Linked DNA regions of Caenorhabditis elegans. The protein of the gene in region 1 purifies or fractionates together with the protein of each later gene. This does not show direct contact. Each region holds a gene or a part of one and is shown in the gene's direction. Other genes may lie near its edges.

Region 1 (6,596 bases):
TCAACTCACTCAATGACAATCAAATCGAAGTTCGTGAAAGAGCGACAGATGCCCTAAGTACACTTCTTCAAGCTAAATTCTTCGAGACAACACCAGAACTTGTTACCAAATTCAGTACAGCTGCCCATTCAAAAGATCAAATTCAAGGGCATGCTGGTGTTCTCGGATTGTCAGCTATTGTGCTAGCTTTTCCATACTCTGTTCCAGAGTTTCTCCCGGGAGTCCTAATGACTATTTGTCGGTTTGCCACTGACAAGAGTGCCACAATACGGGTAAATTCGATAGTTTTTAAAATTTCATCGAATCGTTTTTTTTCAGGAAGCTGTAAAACGTACTCTTTCGGAGTTCAAACGTACTCATCAAGATTCGTGGCGTGAGCATGAGCAACAATTCAACGAGGATCAACTCATGGTGCTCCGAGATTTGCTCATTTCTCCCAATTACTATGTCTAGAATATCTTCCGATAGTGATAGTTCGTAGTAGCGCTGTGTTGTGTGTACGTATCTCCGAACGCTTTATCATTTTGCATTTCGCCGGTTTTTTTGTCTATTTTCCTCTCCCGTTTATATTTTCCATTTCGAAACGGTGTTCTCACATTTCCCATTCTCCTGTTTGTACCCCCCAGTCTCTTCCTCCCCCGTTCTATTTTATATATCTTGCCCCGAGTATTCACACTATCCCATGCCGTTTCCCTTTTGAACACATTGTTCTGTGCAGTTTATTTATTTTTTGCTAACTTCATCCCACAACCCTTTCGGAAGTTAATTTATATCCATTTTACCTTGTATACCACAATTTCATACAAATGAATCACTACGCCGAATAAATAAATTGAGATTTGGAGTATCTGATTTCGGGTTAATCTAAAAATTGTATTCGTATAGTGCGATTCCTGAAAGATTCCTGAAATAGCAGTTCAACTGAATATAAATTTTAAAATTAGTTTTCAGAAATGGAGAGAAGCACCAGAGCATGGATGTCAATAGTTGTAGTTCAAGCAATGGGAAGTGTATGGATGTGCTATGCAAAACAGAATTCTGCATCTCACTATACTTCAACATTGCCAGCTCTTTCTAGAGCTCATGCTCTTCCGTTGGCATTGCTTTGTATCTTGAGGTATTATTTCAATATTCAAAAAAGTTAAAAACAAGGAAGATTTCTGTTATTATTTTTCAGAATCGTTCTAATCTTCGACTTTCGTAACTTCTCAATTCACATTGCTCACATTCTGCTCTCAATCCTCACAGCCATCCATACAATGACTGAAGTATTCTTCTATCAATCTATGTCTTATGGAATTGTCACTGTCACAGAAGTCACTCTCAACAGTTTTTCAGTTGTTGTTATGCTAACTTTCCTACTCTCTCCATCATTCAAAAACGAACAAGAAGGAAAAGAAAAACGAGCTAGAAAAGTGACAGCAAAACACTATATGGAAGGAGAAATGCTTACTCCGGAAGATGACGATGAACTTGTTCAGGCGTACAAAAAATGGAAATAAGTGTTATAATGAATTATTTATGTACCATTTTATTTACTAATCATATTCTAAGTTTCTAAATGTATTGCTTTAATCTCGCCATAATTAATATAAGATCTCACATATGTATAACTTTGGAAAAGCTTTAATAAACAAAAATACTTTATTTGCTTCTTTTCATACATCGTTCGTCTCTAAAATCTTGGCAATCTTTCAATATTCATAAATTCACTTTCTTCCATATGTGTAATAATATGGATAAGTGTAATAGTACAGAGGTTGAGCTGCTGCTGCAACCGATCCTGTTTGTTGAACATTTCCAGATTGATCTCGTTGAACTGTTCCACTATATTGTTGATTTCCCTGTGCATATTGAGTCTGCTGTTGTTGAGGTTGTTGGGCATATATTTGTTGATTACTAAAATCTGTTTGTTGGGTGGCTGCTGCACCAACTGTAGCTGTAGGATAATAGTAATAGTATGGAGTATAATAGCTCGTTGGATAGTACAAGTGTTGCGCAGAGGCCACAGCAAGAAGGGAGAACAGAGCAAGGAAACTGAAAATTAAGCAATTGACGTTGAACGTATGAACAATAAACTTATCTCAAATCTTATGTTTATAAAAAATAAGTAATCAAGCTATTAAAAATTAAGCTATATATATAGCCCAATAGGGTACTGCTAAGCAACGTTTTCGTGAGTCATTAAAGTGTAGTTTCAAATTTTTCCGAGTTAACAATACAATAAAAAAAAGTTTCTATAGTTTGTGTGCTTGTTCACATGTTTCAGGCCACTGCTCAGTGGATGCTTACTCCAAAAACCCTGTGTTCTATATTGTCAGTTTGTCTGGGTCTACAGTAATACGTTTCAAAATTTAAACTAAATATCAAAACTATTATTTTAAAAAGATTCAATAAAACTAACGTTAAAATAACAATTCTAGATGAAAAACTGATTCACAAAAGCAAATTAAATTTTATATTAAATTTGAGACTCACGTCTTCATTTTGGGGAAAGTTATATTTAGAATGATTAAGTCCAGTGTGTCGTTACCATTTTATACTTACTCGCCACACTCCCAAATTCCATCAGTGGCTCCTACAAATCACCAAAAAACTAAAAATAGTTTGTTCTACACCTCTCTCCTCACATTCCATCTTCACACAAAGTAGTAGATCAAAGAAGCGCGAAATACTGAAAATCTGCAAATTTCTATCTTTTCACTTTTTCTGTCATTTTCTTGTCAACAACATGTTCTTGGGACTCCCGAAATACGCATGTACATCCTTGCTTTGTTTGCTATTTTTCAGAAACACAAAATGACTTACAAACAAAAAATGTAGTGTTTACCCGTGGTCTTTATCGTGGTTTCTTGTGGAATTGTATATTACTAATAAGATTGGAAACATGGGTTGACCATAAATTGATCACAGTTATTATTGATTCATATGACTTAGAAGGTATCCAAGGTTCAGAGATTGACTAAAATAATGTTTGCTAGATCCCTGTAGAAGTTTATCACATAAAAGTCACTAAACTCTTTATAATTTTGGTTCAAACCGTGAAAATGATCATTTTTGGCATAACAACGTTAGACCAGTTGAAAATGATTTTCCAGCCGTTTATTTACATGAAAAGTCGTCGAATTTTTCGTGCTCAAAGCTCAAAGTTTTCTGTTAAAAATTATTTAGTAATTATTAACTTCGAGCTTACTAGAAATTTGACCCATTGTTTAGATTCAGATGAGTCAGTTTTACAGATTTGTAATTTGATAATGTTATTACTATAGCCATTTAGCATCTTGCACTTTTAATTAAATATCAATCTAAGGTATCAATCTTGAGCCTTGATCATTATCACCATTATCAAATTGAACCGTTTTAGCTTGCCGCCAACTGCCATTCTCAATGAAGTCCTTTTGAAAGTCAACAAACTCAGAGTCTTGCTCTCTTTGCTTTCTCACTATTTCTTTTGATTGGGCTCTTTTCTCTTGACCTCGAGTTTACTCAGTAACTTTGTGGTTGGCATGGATGGAATAAAAGAAAAACATACAATCGTGGAGTTTTTTCGCAGTTTTTTTCGGAATGCAACTGATGATGACAGTATTGGGTTAGACACACCCATTGAAATAAGGTATAAAAATGATCAAACGAAAAATCTTCACCATTTCTGCTCACTTCAATCGAACGAAATGAACACGTAAGTTTTCTAGCAAACGATTTATGTTATCATTAGGTAGGATGTGCATCATTCATTCGTAAATTTTCAGCCTCCTTGCTCTTTGCTCACTTCTTGCTGTGGCTTCTGCCCAATACTTGTATTATCCAACAAGTTATTACACACCATACTATTACTATTATCCAACCGCTGCAGTTGCTGGTACCACTGGAGTTGCTCAGCAAACTCAGGCTGGTGGAGCTTCCCAACAAGCTTATGCTCAACAGCAACCACAACAAAACCAACAGTATGCTCAAGGAACCCAACAACAACAACAACAGTATTATCCACAACAAACGCAACAGGGTCAGCAACAACAAACTCTTCAATACCAACAAGGAGTTCAACAGCAACCAGTACAGTATGATCAATCAGGAAATACCCAACAGGTTCAATATGATCAATCATCCCAAATGCAGCAACAACCACAACAACAACAGCAATACACGCCTCAATATGATCAATCTGGAAATACTCAAAATCATCAGCAAGGAACTCAACAGACTGGAGCTGTGGCTGCTCAGCCACCTTACTACTATTATACATCTCCATACTATTATTATGCTTATGGAAGAAAATAGAAGAGTATTACGGAACTTGCCCAGCCCATCGTTGTTTCATATTATGATTTCATTCCTCACACTGCCTTTATGCGAACGAAAATAATTGAAAAAAAAAACAATAAATGATTCGAAATTTATGCGAAATGTTGTGTAAGAAAATATTTTTGAAAAAGCAGATTAATACCTGAAAATATTTCCAATTAAAGCAGTGGAATTGTCTTCGTGCCTACCTCGTGCCTGCCTACATCTCAACTGCTGGCTTATTTGTTTACCACATGCCAGACCAATCAGTTTGCACGAAATATTATTTTTGAACTATTAATAAGATACATTTGTTATATCTGTACAGCCTGACACTTTTTTAGAGCGATTATTTGGAGAGTATTCAACACCATCATATTTTGATACCTGAGTTTCAGCCAGCTTAACAGTTTTTTCATTAAAACCGAACACAAATTCAACGGCCCACTAGTTACTCATAACCTAAACATTGGCAGGTGTTCTCTTACATAATCTGTTATAAACAAATGGATCGTCTCAATTTCCAATCAGGTATCAATGACATAAACAAATTATTCACCCTCCACCGTGCAACTCCATTAATTTCATTTCATTTTCGCAACAAATGATACCTAACTTACAGTTATTTCTTTCATTAATACTATTCGGCTTATTAAATCATGTATCTTCAATTGACTATGAAGAAATACACATCGAAGATTCATATGAAACAAGGTAACGAATCCTTTAATTTTTTTTCAAAATTACGTCCGAAAACATTTCAGATCACGTATTCTAATGGTTGATGGAAATGTGTGGTTGCATGCCGGAAAGGATAAAAATATAACGTTCAAAACGACTGGAAATGGAAGAATATATGTGGACGAAACAGATGTTTCCAAACTTCCAGATATTGTAGGTAGACTGCTGAAATTATCCAAAAAAAAAATGAACGAGCTTCTACAAAACATTTATTTTTGATACGTTGCTTTGCTTAACACACAGATTTCTTATTTAGTAGAGGCTTATGCCGATGGTTTCTTGGCAGCTTCCACTTCAATAAATTTGATGAGATCAGCTCGTTCGTCAGCTTTCTTCAAACCAGCGAAGACCATCTGAAAATTTCTTATTAATACTCCATCGCACTTCCTAGAAAATCCTACCTTAGTTCCGGGGATGTACTTTTTCGGATCAGCCAAATAGTCGAAAAGTGTTTGTCTGTCCCATACAACTCCTTTATTCTTGTTGGCAGCCGAGTAGTCAAATCCAGCAACTTGTCCGGATTGTCTTCCAATCACTCCGTTCAATGTTGGTCCAGTCTTTGTTTGCAATGAGTTGACAACGTGACATTGCTCGCAACGTTGTTTGAAGATCTGAAAATCAATAGGTTTTCTGGGAACACTATAATGAAAAATTTAACTAACCTTCTTTCCTTTCTCATTGTCTCCTTCTGGAATAGCTCCACCGGATGCCGTATCAGACTTCTTCTTGCCCATGTTTCAAGAACTGATTAAAACATAGACGGTCAGATTAGAAAAAGGAACGAAACGTGGATTACGAGTAAGAGTTGGAATTAGATAGTCGGAGATCACGCAAAAATTTACTTTTTGACAACTATTTAAAAAGAATCACTTTCCTGAGAAACGGTCACGTAAATTTTGATAATTAAGTTCTATTATTTTTATAAAACTTTTCAAAATGAATAATTGTTTGAAAATGTTTGAACTATGGAAGTTTTTGAAAATTAACTCGAATTACAATTTTCAATATTCAAAATAATTTTCAGGCATCTTTCAAGCAACTTGTTGGACGTATTGAGAACACTTCTCAAATGTTCACCACTTTGAAAAGTCGCCAGGACACGCAGACTTCTGCAATGAGAGTGGTTTTAAATTCTGCAAAACATTATCTAGTAGCGGTAATTCCATACATTTTTTTCTCTTTTTGAAATCAATTTTTAGCTTCGAAATATGACACTCGAAGTGAATATCTTGAAGAAGTGGAAAACTGATAAAATGGCCAGAGACATGAGGAGACGGGGATTATTGGTGAAAATGACACGTCAAATCATGTAAGACACAACAAGTTAGGTTTGACTATTTTTTATAAATTGTTAACTTTCAAGAGGAATCAACAAATTGATAGCAATAAACGCGTGCGATCCGAACAAATGTAGTAATGGAGGCACATGTATCCCATCTTTTGGCGCCAAATTCACTTGTCTTTGTCCTCCACATTTCACCGGTACAACTTGTGAAGCTGACATCGATGAATGCTCAGTATACAATGGTACAACTGCTGGATGTCAGAACAATGGAACATGTATCAATAACCGT
Region 2 (6,732 bases), 1.8 Mb from region 1:
ATAGATACAAAATCTTGTCTCAAAAGAAAATTGATGACATCACAACAAAGAGAAAAAAGATGATTCATGAAATATAGTTAACTTCTGGAATAATGTGTGGAAAGTGAGAAGCGGGTGTCGACAAAATCAGAAAGTACAGAGCTTTAAAAAAATTTAAGGAATTAGGTATAATGATAAATTAGAGATGAAAATGGTACATTTGCATTAGTTAGTTACTTAGAAACTGGAATTTTATTAAAATAGTTTTTGTTTTTTATTGTTTCTCATGAATTAATTTTGTGGCTTCTAGGTGTTTATAAAAAATAATTGTCCTCAATAGGAGAAATAATTAAAAGTTTAGTTCAGATGCTGAAACCTATGAACCCATTAACACCACAAATTTCGTCATTACATCTTCAAAAAGGCTGAATTTGAATGATGCATGCGAATGGCTACGCGGGATATAAAGTTTGAAATAATTTTCAAGCAAAGTTTCTTCATTTTCTCTGCATTTGTTTTTCAATTTATCCTCTTATGCCACTGTATGTACCATTAACTACGTCTTCCTTCCCATCTTTATCCATCTACAATGTTTCTATATATTATGTTTCAGTTATTAGATTCTGGTCTCCGATTTTGTAAAATGCTCTAACAGACTAATGTTTGAAAAATTAAGTCTTAGCCAATCGCAGTGTGTATAAACTCTGAAAACTATCAGACATACAGTTTGATATTATTCATTTTATTTTCATTCGGATATCCGTCTGAATAGAATTGAAACTTTTGGAAAAAACAAAATTCGTTCACAAAACATCCATCTTTGTGACGTGATGTTTTATGTTTTCCCTCTGATTTCTTTCTATAAAAACCTTTACAACTCCACAAAGAACATCATTCACCAAGATGTTAGTTGTTCTTGCTATCTCTTTGGCAGTTACCGCAGTTTGTGCTCAATACGGATCAGGACCAGCCAATAATCCACCGGCTTCTTCCTATTCATCAAATGTTTACTATCCACCTCCGGTTTATGGATCAGTGTACTGGGATTACGATAGTGGAAGTCGTGAACATCGTCATAAACGTAAACCGTAGTCCATTAATAAATAAACATCTTACCAATTTCAGAGTGCCCACGTTTGAGAGCATATGTGGGTGAGTTCCCTGGTATCCCTGAGGAAGCATTCTATCCACCAATCATTCGATATGTCAAATACAACAGAAAAGTGACTGCTCTTGTTGTCTGTGATAGAGATGAAAAGAATTTGAACTTCCTTTTCGGTTAGTTATCTCGAACTATTCAAAGTAGATTAGTGATTGTATTTAACTATATCCAGCTCGTCACAACAAAACTCGTGATGTCCGTTCTGCCAGTGTTGTCGCTATTGGAAGCACCGCCGGTGTCACTCTCGTTTGTAATCGCGATGACAGAAGATATGAGGGATTTGTTATTGATATGAATGCAACTACAAACGGATTCTCTAAGAAAATCGAAATCACGCAACTCACTTGTCTTGGACTCGACAAAACTATTATTGGTCTTCCTGTGGAACACGGAGTACAACAACTGGCGCAAAAGATTCAGGAAATTTTGGAAGATGACTTCTTCGTTCCAGTTATTCCGTCGAGAAGGAAGAGACAAGCTGGTGGAGCAACTGCTAACAGCGCTGAATCCACGACTGAAGCAGCTGACACCGAATCCACAACTGAAGCCGCTGCCACCGAAACTCCTGCCGCCGAATCTACCACAACTGAAGCTTCCGCTACTGACGCTGCCGCCACCGAAGCTTCCGCTACCGATGCCGCCGCCACCGAAGGTGCTGTCACCAAAGCTGCTGCCGGAGTTACAGAAGAATCAGCTACGGAAGTGATCACTGTAGCAACAACACCAGCTTCACCAGATGCGGCGCTTAATAATGCTATTAACGAATTGGGAAAAATTCTCGGTCAAGTTTTCTAAATGCATTTCGATTTTAATTGTTTAATATGTCAATTGATTATTGAATAAAAGTCAATGAAAGCTAAAGTTATTTATACAATTTTCAGAGAATGTAAGAAAATTATAATATGACCACTAGAATCATTTAATATTCGGACCTAACTTCGTACCTAATTTTCGCCCGAAGGAAAAAATCTTGGTTAGGTAAAATATAATAGACCTTATATGTACTTGCGATCGCAGCAATAGCTTTTCCATTTTCACCAAAAGTTTTCTTGAAGATTATCAGCTTTTTAATGGTCGCCACCGGGGAAATGTTAAAAATGCCTCTTATAGTGCGAAACTGCCTAAAAGAGATAGAACAATAGTCTACATTTTTTTTGAATTCCCATTTTGCCACAAAGTTGCCTGAAAATTTTAAGTTAGCAAAACGATATTGAATAATTTTTAGGTAAAATCTACATATACTGAGAATTATGAACTTTTAACCGTTTCATTTTTGGACAAAATATGGTCGCGTTTAAAATTGAAAAATTAAAAATTAATATTCACAGCTATTATTATTTTAGATTTATTTGTAAATAATATGCAACGTTCTCATAAAATATTAAATCAATACGACTATATATTTTGCAGTCATTGATCACCTTTTAAAAGTTATCTTCAAAATGTTTCATGAAAATGTGATTGTTGTCTTCTTGTAGCCAAATGTTAAATTCACAGCTGTTTTTTTGAAGGAGGTCAACTCAGCCGACGAGCCATCGTCTTCTCTCCATTTTTGTCCTTCTAGGTAAACACGAGGCAAACCACAGTGGAGAACATAAGAACAGATAGACGATTGAAGAAAATTTCTTTTTCAAATGCGTTGACGGGTTTTTTCAAACTTTTTTGTTTTTCTCTCTCTCTCCAAATTCCGAACACAACTGTTAACCTGATAACGAATATTTAATTTCAGCCCAATGGGATGCATCTTGTCTTGTAAAGAAAAACCCAAAGCAAAGTTAAATCAAAACATAAACATACCAACGCAAATTCGGAGGACAGATACATTTCCACAAGAGATGGCAGAGATCAGAATGCAGGCCAAACACGTGCATTTTTCGGTTAGTTACTTTTATTGATTAGGATATCGGAAATAACACTTGTTTCAACTGTAGTAACTAGAAAGTAAGGAAAACGACTTTTTTCTATGATAAAATGTGATCGTTGTGTTTTGACCAAGGTGAATAGCATATCGATCAAATAACCATCTTGATGGAAGGCATAAATATCTTGTTTCTTTTCTTTTGATACGATTATACTTGAATCTCATTTTTATTTTACATACGACTCTTTTTTTATGCAACTTGATTTACGATTATTATAACCGCCGTTTGCAAATTTTGAACAACCGAGAAAGTGGGAAATTTATAATTTCAAAAAAATGTATTTGCTTACCGTCAAAAAGTTTCAAGAAGTTCTAGCAGAAAAATTTAGAAACATCTCATAAAATTTTATGTTGAACTTATTTTTTCATTCTTAATTTTAAAATGTGGTGATGGGTAAAATATGCGACAGTGTTTTTCCAAATTTCCTGAATTTTTTCATAATGATTTTTAACCTTTCTGGTATATTTTTAAAATATGCAAATAAAATCCCCACTTGTTTTATCTTCAGTCAAAACCAGAACCAAAGATTTGAAAATGATAGCGGCATTTCACAAAAATCAAAAACACCTGTAATTTTGCAAAAGTCTAAACTTTGATGCAACAAAAATCGCCTAACCATTGCTGGATAGCACTTATATTTCAGTGATTCATTGCAGAATGAAGCAGTTCTGATTCCAAATGAACGTCAGGGAGAATTGAAAATTGTGGAAATCCAGGAAGTTTGCACATTTCGAAGATGTTTAAAATGAAGTAGAAACTAATTATTTATGTTACCAATTTTTATGTGATTACTGTATGTATTAATATATATTGAAAATTATTTTATCAAGTTGCATTTAACAAAAAAAATGAGTACAATCATTCAATACGTATTTTACCAAATACTTTGCTGTGCTTGTGTTCCAACGGTTGTTCTCCATATTTGTTGAGAACCATTTGCAGTTCGTTTCGTACTGACGTGGAATATTTGGAAAGTTGCTTCACGATATGGAGTATGCACAAAAAGCATTGTCAGCGTTGATAGAATTCCATGAAGTGCAATTCCAAAAAGTGCAAAATTTGTGGCAGCTAAAAAATATCATTAAATCAGTTCAGTTTTGAGCGAAATCTTTCATACCCTGATTATAATAGTTGAACCAAATTGCCAAAACTATGTATAGAACGGGAAATGATAACACAAAAATTGGTATGAATACTTGAATGCATAAAGCAAAGAAAAATTGTTTTTGGAGGCGATTTGTAACCTGTGATTTTGAAACAGTGTGGTAGAGATACCAAAAAATAGAAAGAACAAAATATAAAGCTTGAGGAATGATGAGTGAAAACATGAAAATAAGGCAAAGGCAAGGAATTGTATTCACGATTGATAGTACAAAATAACCAGGTCGATTTATGACATCTTTTGGGATACATGGAATCTCCTGAAATATAATTGTTAGAATAAAACGTTGAATTAGCGGTTCAAAACTCTATCACTATAAATTGCATATAAAGTTTTTTGAACTCGATAGTTTTTGAATTGTTGAACGTTTTTTATTGCCGCTCCCCTTTGATACAGACTATGGGTAGATTTCATATTCGTTTCATATTTGGTAACGACGAACCAACCTGTTGAACAGTAGCTCTTCCTTGTAGTTGATCCGGAATGTTCATATATCCCGGTGCAATAAAAGTGACCGAAATAATATAATGAATAATTGAATACAGAACACGTTTCCAGTTTCTAGCACCATTCGAAATGTTACTATTAATTAAACGGTGATGACGGTCTTCAAAAAATAATAAAATTGTAACAGCTATCACTGAAAATAAGTTGTTTTCAGGTATTACTAATCCTTCTTTAGACTAACCGCCAACAAATGAGATACCTAAATAAACTTGAACATCTGTTGGAATTCCTAAAACTAATGAAAATCCAAGTGGATATCCTGAACAAACAGGAAGAGTCAACACTGGAATTGCAATAAAACTAAGATAAAAATCTACAAATGCTCCAATACAATGAAGTGCGAGCATACTTGCTTTAACTGTTCTCATTTTTCTTGGTGTCTTCGCAACAATAATATATGCACCAAATAAATGAATCGGTAATTCTATTGAAGTAAGAACATGTAGGACTCCAGAATAAAATTCATCAGTTGCAAAAAAGCTTATATTTTGTGAGCACATATGAGTTATACAAAGACAAATGAACTCATGAAAAGAACGAGTATCAAAAGTCTTGAATATGAATACTTTCAGCTGCTCTATTGCTCTGGGCACTGCGTGGTTTCTGATTGAATTTGACTGGTCAGAATTGTATTAGCTGATTAAAAATCTGTTCAATTTCCTTTTAATTTTAATGTTAATCTCAAAGATCTTTATTCAAATATTAGCTTGCGTTTTTAGCAAAAATTTTGTGTTCACCAACGGTAATCCAAACTTGAGATCTATTCACGGGCAGTGTTTTATTGGATATTAAACAATTGAATATACTTGAAACAGTTTCTCGATATGGTTTGTGAACAATGAGCATTGTTATAGTTGAAACTATTCCATGAAGTGCAACCAGAATAACGCAAATATTTGTGGCTGCTAAAATATCAAGATCGTGTATCTTTAATTTTAAATAAAATACAATAAAATAAGTACCTTGGTTAACTTGATTTTTTATAATCATAATAACCAGAATTGACATAGGAACAAAAAACACGAATATAGGTATTGTTACTTGAATTCCTAGAGCTATTATCAATTGTTTTTGCATTTTATTCACAACTTTTGATCTCGAAGATGAGTTTTATGACATCTGCCATACAATGGAAATAGCAAAAAATAAACCTTGAATCATCAAAAAAGAAGCCATTAATGAAACACAAAGTGCAGTAAGAGTTGCATCTACAGCAAGGATAAAAAACCAGGTCGATTGAAAACATTAAATGGAAAACTGGGAATTTCCTGGAACACTTTATGAGACACATTTTTAAACTTTAAAAATACCTGCATGATAGAAAATTTCCCTTCGTTTTGGTCAGGTATCGTAAAATAACTGGGAGACATAAACATGAATGACATTATATACAAATTTATAGAATATATTTTCCGCTTCAAAAAAAAAAATTTTACAGATATTCCATTCCCTAGAACACAGTATCGGTCTTCAAAAAGTAAGACAATCGAAGCACTGACAACTATAAAAAACAATTTAATTTTGAAATGCTAATTTCAACTAACCGCTAACAAGGGAGAATCCTAAATAAACCTGAATAGATGCTGGAACATTCAACCATAATGATAATCCCAATGGATATCAGGCACTTGCTGGGAGAGATAGAACTGGGGACGTCAAGAAACTGATATAAAAATCTAAAAATGCCTTCGGAGTTTTTGACATAATTATATATGCTCCAAAGATATGAATAGGCACTTCAAACGAAGTAAGAATGTGTAGAGAATACAAATAAAAATCATCAGTTTCTAACAAAAAGCTTTCATTCGAGCAACTCATTTATATGAATGAATTAAACTTTTGATCAATGCTTTGATTCGTCACCTGTTCTGGTTTTATTATTAATGTCGGAGAAAGAGCATCGATCAATTGTTAGAACAAAAACAAATAAGTTTAATAGACTTGTCTATAACACGAATTAATTAATAAAACAACAAAGAGAATGTTCTGGGACACCACCA
Region 3 (9,431 bases), on another chromosome or scaffold:
TTATGATCAACTGAGAATTGAAACAACTAGGTTGTTGCTTCCGCATTCTAAAAGTAAAATGAGCTTGAGAGCTGAAATTAGAGATTAATTACGCTGATTGTAAATAACATTTTCTCAAATTTCAGAAATAATCTTTGTTCACTTAACAATTTGAGAACTGGTTCAGATTAATTTAGAGAATTTGTTTTGAGGGAATATATTGTTACCGAGGACTTTTTAGACTGTCAGATTTCAGGCTAAGTTTCCGATAATTAACATTCTGTGCATTTTAAGCAACCATCCAAAAATAATATCAGTGAGCAACTTGCTGCTTTCATCATTTTTCACGTGTGAAACTTCAGTGCTTTTCAACCGGAAGAATCAACGCGAGATCAATTCGTCTTCTCTGCCAAAGAACGCTTCTTCTTTTCCGCACCGTCTTGAGCTCAAACAATCATTCACACATTTCCAACTCACCCATTGTTCACGTGCAAATAAGATGAACAAAAAATGAGGGAAAAGAAGCAAGTTTCGTGTTACGTGTATCTTCAAGAAGTAAACAATGAATTAGATGCGCAACCCACGTAAATCACAACAACGCTGCTACCCGAAAAGTATTTTCCGGAATTGTCCGGGTTACGGTCAAAAGAGTGAAACACATTTTCGAAAATAAAACGGTGTCAGATTACGGTGTCATGTTACTAGCCAGCATTAGACTGTCTAGGAGGATATGTGTGGCATTTTAGGAATAGAACACAAATCCCGGATAAATAGTGAATATGCATTTGGAGTATTTCAACAACACGAGCGTCACAATATATGTTGAAAAAAAATTACAAATTAATAAAAAATAAAAAATTAAAATAAAAAATTGAAATTTCTTTTTTTAAATTGTAAGCTTATCAAAATACAATTCGAGACGGAAACAGGTGATATGGGTATGTGGAATGCTCGTATGAATTACTGATCGAATAACGTAATATTCAAAAATAGAACTTATTTCTTAGTTTTCGTCTTCCATGAATAAACTTTGAATGAACTATTTCTGTCTAGAACATGAACAAAATCTTGGAATATTCATGAGTGAATTATTAGTGAAAAGTTCATAAAATGATATCGAGGATCTACAAGTGTGCATTTTATTTTTGCAATTGGCACGTATAGATTTTCAATGTTTCCAGCTGCACCACGTCACTACATAATTAATATCATAGGTGCACACCAAAATACTACTCTCTCACGATAATTGTTTCGTTTTCTGAATTGAAATAGACAAGAATCAATACAAATATTTAAGTTTTATGAACGCTTAGTTTTCTAAATATGTATTGAACCAGCTCCAAAAAAGAGTGAGGCAAAAATAATCCTGAATTATTTTTGAAGCTGAAATAAGCTTGAAGGTCAAAAGGGAATCACCCAAAGATAAATGAGATAAGAGTTGCAATAGTTGAGTAATCGGATGCAAGAGTAACAGAGAAACTACAGTAAAAATAGTAAATTTTGATAGTTACACTAAAATAGACAAGAGTGTAGGAGAAGCCGTCAATCTCGGGAAACAAAGATCACACGAGTACTCCTTTTCTTGTCAATCACAACGGTCATCGGTCAAAATGTTCTCAACTTCCTTCACTTTCTCTCCGTCTCCACTGTCTTGATTACAAAGAAGAATGGCAATCCTAAAAAAGGAAATGAAGCTTCTCCGTGTCTATCGGCAATGCATCATCATCACCTTCCCGTTTTGTTTCACATTTAATCCTCCCACATGCTCCACTGCCAGTCAAAAATCAGAAGAAGGCACCACTGGTGGGATAATGCGTTGTGTATTTACGGTTTTGCAACGTACACAGTCTCATTCTCGGACAATTGCGGAAGGCAACGAAATAACCAAATAACCCGGCAAGAAACATATTGTGGAGGCGAGAAATGTGTGGAACATGCTTACGCATTGTTGAGCATCAAATGATCACTTTTTGCGCATCTTGGCAATGACCAACTTGACTTGTTTTTTTTTGTTTGATGGCAAGTGACGGACTTTGAAAATGAATAGGTTGGCATTTTTTGAAAGAGAAAAAATCAAATGAACAATATGCAATTTCATCAAAAGAAATATTGTTTTTCTGCAGGGTGTTGAATTATGAAGGTACGAAGAAACACTTTTAGACATTACCAAGTTGGAAAAACGGGATTTAAGTAATATTTCAAGTTCCTTACTACTTACAAGTGTTTCCCGTGATAAAGTTTTATTTGATAGTTACTTTGTAATATTCAAAGAAATTGTGTAACTGGAAAAGTTTCTGATACTTGAATTGTAAATATATTCACAAAAAAAAACATATTCAATTAAATCCAAAAACAAATTCAAATGATTTAAGCTCAGACATGATCAACTACGTTTTTTCCCTGAAGAATTGTCGAACACTTGGAACATAAAATGTATACTGAAAACTTTAAGATCCCTCATTCCGGCAATGAAGACCACCGGCAACTTTTTGATCTGTCTAAATACGCGTACATCCCTTGAGACAACTTTTTGAATGGATCAAAATACATAGAGATTCCCACCCTGTACAAACATCGTATTGAGCACTTTAGACACTTTTTTCAGGCCGTGTCAAGGATCCACCAAAAATCCAAAATCTAGTCGTCAATTTCCGTCGGTCCTCGGACGACGATCCGATGCAAAAAGTTGATCCGTTTTTTTGCGTCTCCTCCATTCTTCGTCTTCTTCCTGTAAATTCCTTCCTGGTGCATCGAGACGGAAAGGAGGAGCATCCTACAATTTTTTGCCGCCTGATGGCTACCGCCGCGGCAACATGACAGACGTATATAAGACAGTGGCGGAAGGAAGCGGAGCACCAAAAGAGCACCTCCCTCACTGTCGTCGGCCAGCAGTACCGCCGAGAGGAGTTCTACGAATAAACGATATGAAGACGAACATTATATTATTACTTATAGTTATTGGATCATACCTTGTGGATTCAGAACAGGTAATTTTTGATATATTAAAAATAAAATAAAATTATACCTCTAATATCTCTCATCCATTTTCCTTATTCTACAATCTCTTATTCAACTTTTGAAAACGTAGTCCAAAATCTTCCTATGAAACATTTTCTCCCAATATCACTGTTTTTTTTTTATTTTTCTAGTAAATTTTTATTTTTCCAGTAAAAATCAATGCAGAAACACCGTATTTCCTTTTTCAACTTTTACAATCCCTTGCTTAAATTATGTAGCTCATATTTTGGTTGTCTTTATTTTTTGTTAAAAATGTGCAATTTTTCAATTATTTTTCTATAGTTGTGTAATTAGTAGTTTACAGTAATTGAAAAATAATTACGTTAGTTTCCCTGATCATCCCAATTTATAGCTAAACACTACGCGCCTACAGTATTTTCATTGCACATCCATGACTCTTTATAATCTCTCGATCTTCGCAATATCTTGTATTTTGACCGACTGATGACCTGTCTCGGCAAAGTGTTCCAAGTCTCGCCATTCTCAAGTGAACCATATCATATTTCATGTCCATGAGAAGGGTTCCGCCTTTCTATGACATTTTCCCACATTCACACATACAAATAACACAAGAACAAATAAACCGGTGCCATGTCGCAAATTCAACAAACAATGACCTGTCGCTCACTTGATTATCACGTCTGACTCATGTTAATATCCCATACATTTTAGAGCTTGATTACACGAGCCAAGCGACAATGCCCGTGTGCGCAACTGTCACAAAAATCGAAATGCAATTGTTATCCGATTGGGAGTGGAATGCAACGATGCAAATGCTCAAATGAGCCACAATCAAGCGGATGTTCTTGTGCCAATAAGGCAAGTCTTTGTGGAATGGAATTGTAGTACAAGTCTGAAATTTCAGGCTCAAACATCGGTATGCCAACCATCATGTCAAAAGTCTTGTGTAGATTCTTGTGTAAGGAACTCCCATCAGCCACAGCTTCTTTGTGATAAGACATGTCAATTTACATGCAATAAGGCATGCACTCCATCTACATCAACGAGCTCATCGTCCAATTTTCCACCAATTAAGGCACTACTTTACCATTCTTTGAACCCAAATAAAATAATATAATTACAGGTAGTTGTAAACCAACAAACCAAGGCTTCTCAATGCCCACAAGCCTGTGCTCAATCATGTGCCAACAGTTGCACAGCTCAGCCAAATAAATCTTATTGCATTGATATGTGCATCAAATCTTGCCAACCAACATGCGTTCAAGCTGCTGTATCTATAAATGTCAAAGAATTCATGCGTACTTCGGTCTGAACGACCAATTTTCACAACCAAAAAAATATTCAATTTTTCAGACCACAACCTTAGCCCCATCAAGATCATGTGTCTCTGCTTGCCAACCAACATGTGACGCTCAGTGTATTAATGTCATGAAGCGGTATGAAGTGATTATTCAAAAGATGCCACTTGCCCAGAAATGTCCCTCCCAGTGTCAGCCAACCTGTTCTCCACAATGTATTCAATCGGTCACTGTTTCTATTCAAACTACAGCTCAACCAACAACAGCTTCCTGCATTCCGGCTTGTCAACCAGCGTGCACTCCACAATGTGTTCAAGCAGTTACCACGACAGAAACATGTATCCCGGCCTGCCAACCCGCTTGTCAACCACAATGTGTAGAGAGACAGCTTCAGATTCAGATCGTAACTTCTCAAGCAACACAAGCAACTCGTGCTCCTGAAACATGCATTCCAGCCTGTCAACCAGCTTGCCAGCCACAATGTGTTTATCAGTATCTTTCTTCGGGGTCTTCAGGCATTTCAACAGTTCCACCAGTAACCAAAGTGTGCATCTCAATCTGTCAACCAGCTTGTGATCCAGGATGTGTTGCTATTTACACGACGACTCCAGCCCCACTTCACTGCGTTTCTCAGTGTCAGCCAGCTTGTCTTCCATCTTGTACTGACACCTTTACTACAACTATCTCGCTTCCAAAACAATGCGTCCCAGAGTGTCAGCCAGCTTGTGAGACTAAATGTATTGTTGCTCAAATTGTGCTGAAGATCAAGAACAGCTATCAACAACCTCAGCAACTGTCTCAACAGTACATCCCACAGTCTTCTTGTGTTCCACAATGCCAACCAGCATGTACTCAGGAATGTGTAGCTGCTCAGCCAAACTTCTCGGTTCAAATTAATATGATTGATGAAACCCCTTCAACCTCAACTTCTTCTCCACAATGTATTCCTCAATGCCAACCATCATGTGATCAACAATGCATTCAAACTTACAAGATTCAAGTACAACAAATGAATTCTCAACAGAAACAGCAACGTCAGTATAATTGTGTTCCCGCTTGTCAACCAACTTGTGAGCAATCTTGCATTCAGTCTCAATACCAAGTTACTATACAACAAAGTTACTCCAAAGGGAATCAAGGAAATAGCTGTCCATCAGCATGTCAACCGGCCTGCGAACCTCTTTGTGTACAACAAATCACTGTTCAAACAACCGTTCCAATCACAAAGACCTGTGTTCCACAATGCCAACCGGCTTGCACTCAAGAGTGTGTCCAGCAGGTAAATATGATATAAAATTTGAAGAAAAAACAACACAACAGGAAAAGTTTAGAACTGTAAATAAACATAAATTAAAATTATAATAACCACCATAGTTTTTTTCTTTTCAGGCAACTACCTACACTATCTCCATTCCAATGACTACTGCAGCCCCATCATGCGCTCCACAATGCCAACCAGCTTGTGATCCACAATGCATAAGCTTCACTCTTAAACTTCCAGTAATGACCACTCCACCCCCGACGCCATCTTGCCAGCCACAATGTCAACCAGCTTGCCAACCATCTTGTATGGAGACATACACATTCACGATCCCAATGAATGATCAGAGCTCCAAGCAGTGTGCTCCAGCTTGTCAACCTGTCTGTGATTCAAAGTGTATTCAAAATTATCAATTTGAAATTGTAATTCCACAGGTCAGAAAATTTAGAACTTTCTGCAAAAACTGAAGATTTTTAGGCTGACAACAACTGTATGCCAGCTTGCACCCAATCTTGCCAAACTTCATGTGTTCAACAGAACAGCCAAAGTGTTCCACAATGCAGCACAGCTTGTACTGACAGTTGTAGATCATCTTGCGTTGAAGTACTGTAACTGAAATATCAGCTGATAGAGTTCTGCTTGGCAAATTGTTAAAATATCGTTGTTTTTTTTCAGATCGTGAAGGAATCTGCAGAACCAACTTTCAAATTGGAAATTGTTCTTAAAAAACCAATGGAAGAAACTGTGACATGTGCTCCACAATGTGCTAATCAGTGCGTTGATCAATGTAAAACTCAACTTCTGACCCAAATTGAATTCTGTCTGCCAGCTTGCCAGAACGCCTGTCAACAGAACTGCCCGTTGCAAGTCGAACCATGTGCAATGAGTGGTTCACAATGCAATTGTTCAACTGGATTCTCACTTTGTGGAAATAACCAATGCTGCAGAAAGAGAAGACGATAGATCCATTCAAAAGGAAACAACCTACCTACGCACATTATTGCCATAATTTTAATTTTAAAGCGAAAAAAGTGTATTTTATTTATCATACATCAATAAATATTTATGAATATCATATAGTGTTCTAGAATAAAATATATTTTGAAATGAAAGTGAATATAATCAAAAATAAAAGTGAAGAAGAGTTCGAGGATCCGGTAACGAGACACCATTGATCAATAGGTTGATCTGGTTTTAAATTGTTTGCAATTTGATTCAACACATTCATTGAACAGTAATCTCCTCCACATCCAGTAATCTCCTTCGTCATCACAGTAAAGTCATCTCCAGATTGTTTGTGGTAAACCAGCTTCAAAACTTAGATATTACAATATTGCTTTACCGAACAAACCTACCTTAAAATAGTCAGCGTTATCAGTAGTATTTCTCCAATATTCAACCGATACGGCAGCGGAATAAAGTGGATATCCGTGAGGTTTAATAGCAAATCGTTCGATGCCAAGAGCTACTAGCACTGCGTATACGGTCTCATCGTGCTGAAAAAAAATGTTTAATGTAATAATTCAATTGTGAATAACATGTACAACTAAAAAATTTCCAGAAGCTTCTTAAGGTTACTACCAAAAAACCCACAGCTGAATAAACGAAGTACTTGAGTCCATTTATCCAATCACACCCTTGTGTATTTTTTCCATATGTACAATCACTTTTCTTATTAATTCTATCCATCATATCATTCATAAGAGGTCCGGATCGTACTTTCAGAAGCTCAAGGCCAATATTCATGTTGTTCATATTAATAGTACTATCTGAAAAATTATTACATACAATGTTCTTAGAAAAACAACGTACTGAATACTCCGTATTGATACATATAAATTTGATCATTTACTGCCACAATTTGACTATAAAAATCATCATTGAACCATGTATTCTCTTTTCGAAGTGATTCATTAAAATATATTTGTTCAATGAATAAGGCATCCGGGACAGTCCAGAAATCTTCTAGACTCCATGTTTGATTAACCAGTGACGTTAGTTTGTCGATTACTGATGAAACTGGTACTGAGCTTCTCCAGTTCTTCATTTCGTCCGATTGTTGAGCAATATTCCAGAGCCATTCACGACGTGGGCAGATGCAGTCCATATTTCCAATCTAAAACAACTGCTTCTGATTAAATATAGTTTTAAAGTTTCCGATCTAGTCTAAATAGTACAATAGTCTAATATGTCGAAATTTCATAATAAGACACACCAATTCAAAGTTTTGGTAAATTGCCAAATTTTCCAACAGTACGGATTTTTTGAGTAATTCCGAGCATTGTTGTAGGTTAGATTCCCTAGAAAGTTTGAATACAAATAATTGAAACGCAATTAAAAAATAAAACTTTTAGAAATGTGTTTTATTCACTTCCAAAATTAAGATAGCCTGACTACGATATTTGGGCATTATTGCGTGGAGCGATGTAAAATACTTTCTATACTTCACCTTTATTCTCCAATTTTTTATTGATTCAAATAGCCCAAAATCTCACATGATCACTGTCATAATCAACGGTATGAACTGGAATAGGAACGAAGCCACGTGGCCATCCCTGAGCATCTGGAAAATCAGTTCCAGCCGAGCTACCGTAGCCGTCTTGTCCATACATTCCGAGCATATTTGAAGTGGCTGAGATCAAAGTTCGATTGATTCCCGTAGATCGTATGTACATTGTTTTTTGATCATAGACTGCTGGTAAGAAGTTGTGGGTGGAGTTTCCTGTGTTGACATAACGATTGCGAAGCTTCTTTCCAAGAGTTAAATGTTGATTCATTCCGAGCTGAAAGGTATCCAAAACAACTATATTAACTCCATATGAACAATCATTACCGGTGAAAGCTGTCCCCATCCTCCACCTCCAAATGTCCAACTATCCTCTTGGAATGGATCCACGTTAAATGTAGTCGTAGGTGATCTATCTCCATGCCTCCAAACCTTTTCAAAAATCGTAACACTAGATTCCAAAACATTATAAAACCTACGATATGAACCATTTTCAACTCCATAACTCCATCTTTCGCAGGTGAAATATTTGTTGCGATTGCCAGATTCCATGCTATTATTATTATTATAAATTGTAGCATGTCACAAAGAAATGGGGTAATGAGTGTAGATATTAATACGAATACGGGGAGAAATTAAAACTAAACTAATTTTCAGATTCAGAGCAAAGCGTGAGCGTAGATCAAACATTGGTTCATACACATTTTCTTATCAACTGTTTCAAATAATCGGCTGAAATTTGAAAAATGTCATGGAAGCGTCTTTATCAAGTAGAATTTCCAGGAGCATTTTAAAATTAATTAGAACAGGAGAGAGAGAGATCATTCATTAGAAATACTCGTAACAAGTAAATTTAGTATAAACACAGGAAGGGATCACATGTGATATCACCCGAACATTAATAAATAAAGTTTTTAGAATTAGTTAGATCGAATGAAATTTTGGGAATCCCGATATGATGATGCACGTGTGTAATAAATGCTGTAGCGTTGTTCATTGCCAGGTCACCAGAATGGACTTCTTTTCAGGCTTTCTCTTGTTGTCAATGTCACACTGATCGGAGTGGAGCCATCTGATTTTACCTATAATTAAAAATTATAAAACTTCATAATTAAATGAAAATTATTTTAAATTACCATGCACATATCGCCTTCAGCACCGATTATTTTGTCTATTGTACTGAAAATTTTGAAAATTTCAGAGAAAAGCTTGGCACCGTCAAAACGGAAGTGTCCTTTGGTGAAGTCGGTGAGTTGAGCTTCGTGGATCTGTTGTAAAATTGTGTTTTTTTAAAAAGAATGTACTGAAATGTGTTACCTCATTAACTTTCATATTATCCATTCTCAGACCGTAAACAATGCGGTCAGCTCCACTCAACAAAGCTCGAAGCCACCAGTCTCTAGCTTTC

Evidence for each region.
Region 2: the proteins of ZC116.1 (region 1) and D1054.19 fractionate together in Caenorhabditis elegans (co-fractionation; one large-scale study listed by BioGRID). This does not show direct contact.
Region 3: the proteins of ZC116.1 (region 1) and appg-2 fractionate together in Caenorhabditis elegans (co-fractionation; one large-scale study listed by BioGRID). This does not show direct contact.

Annotation. Positions count from the first base shown.
Region 1 is NC_003283.11:12,606,462-12,613,057, forward strand, and holds ZC116.1 (Prion-like-(Q/N-rich)-domain-bearing protein), read left to right. Parts: upstream 1-3,364; 5' UTR 3,365-3,506; coding exon 3,507-3,679; intron 3,680-3,749; coding exon 3,750-4,278; 3' UTR 4,279-4,396; downstream 4,397-6,596. Other genes in the region: psme-4 (Proteasome activator complex subunit 4), read left to right, coding at 1-272, 319-453; erg-28 (putative ergosterol biosynthetic protein 28 homolog), read left to right, coding at 954-1,117, 1,178-1,502; ZC116.5 (Conserved secreted protein), read right to left, coding at 1,710-2,037, 2,479-2,486; cubn-1 (Cubilin homolog), read left to right, coding at 4,886-4,995, 5,046-5,175, 6,047-6,178, 6,222-6,331, 6,386-6,596; cyc-2.2 (putative cytochrome c 2.2), read right to left, coding at 5,286-5,375, 5,424-5,633, 5,685-5,756.
Region 2 is NC_003283.11:10,792,926-10,799,657, forward strand, and holds D1054.19 (Ragulator complex protein LAMTOR5), read left to right. Parts: upstream 1-2,868; 5' UTR 2,869-2,874; coding exon 2,875-3,018; intron 3,019-3,268; exon of another isoform or gene 3,269-3,313; intron 3,314-3,719; coding exon 3,720-3,812; 3' UTR 3,813-3,892; downstream 3,893-6,732. Other genes in the region: ule-3 (Uterine Lumin Expressed/locailized), read left to right, coding at 883-1,060, 1,105-1,257, 1,314-1,936; srh-184 (Serpentine Receptor, class H), read right to left, coding at 3,938-4,131, 4,181-4,484, 4,672-4,865, 4,914-5,232.
Region 3 is NC_003280.10:8,798,299-8,807,729, forward strand, and holds appg-2 (Activated in Blocked Unfolded protein response), read left to right. Parts: upstream 1-2,831; 5' UTR 2,832-2,903; coding exon 2,904-2,966; intron 2,967-3,669; coding exon 3,670-3,816; intron 3,817-3,862; coding exon 3,863-4,033; intron 4,034-4,081; coding exon 4,082-4,264; intron 4,265-4,311; coding exon 4,312-5,535; intron 5,536-5,645; coding exon 5,646-5,951; intron 5,952-5,994; coding exon 5,995-6,120; intron 6,121-6,192; coding exon 6,193-6,480; 3' UTR 6,481-6,591; downstream 6,592-9,431. Other genes in the region: pho-13 (intestinal acid PHOsphatase), read right to left, coding at 6,602-6,826, 6,873-7,013, 7,111-7,286, 7,330-7,633, 8,013-8,300, 8,351-8,455, 8,503-8,604; F07H5.10 (Decapping nuclease), read right to left, coding at 9,028-9,105, 9,160-9,291, 9,341-9,431.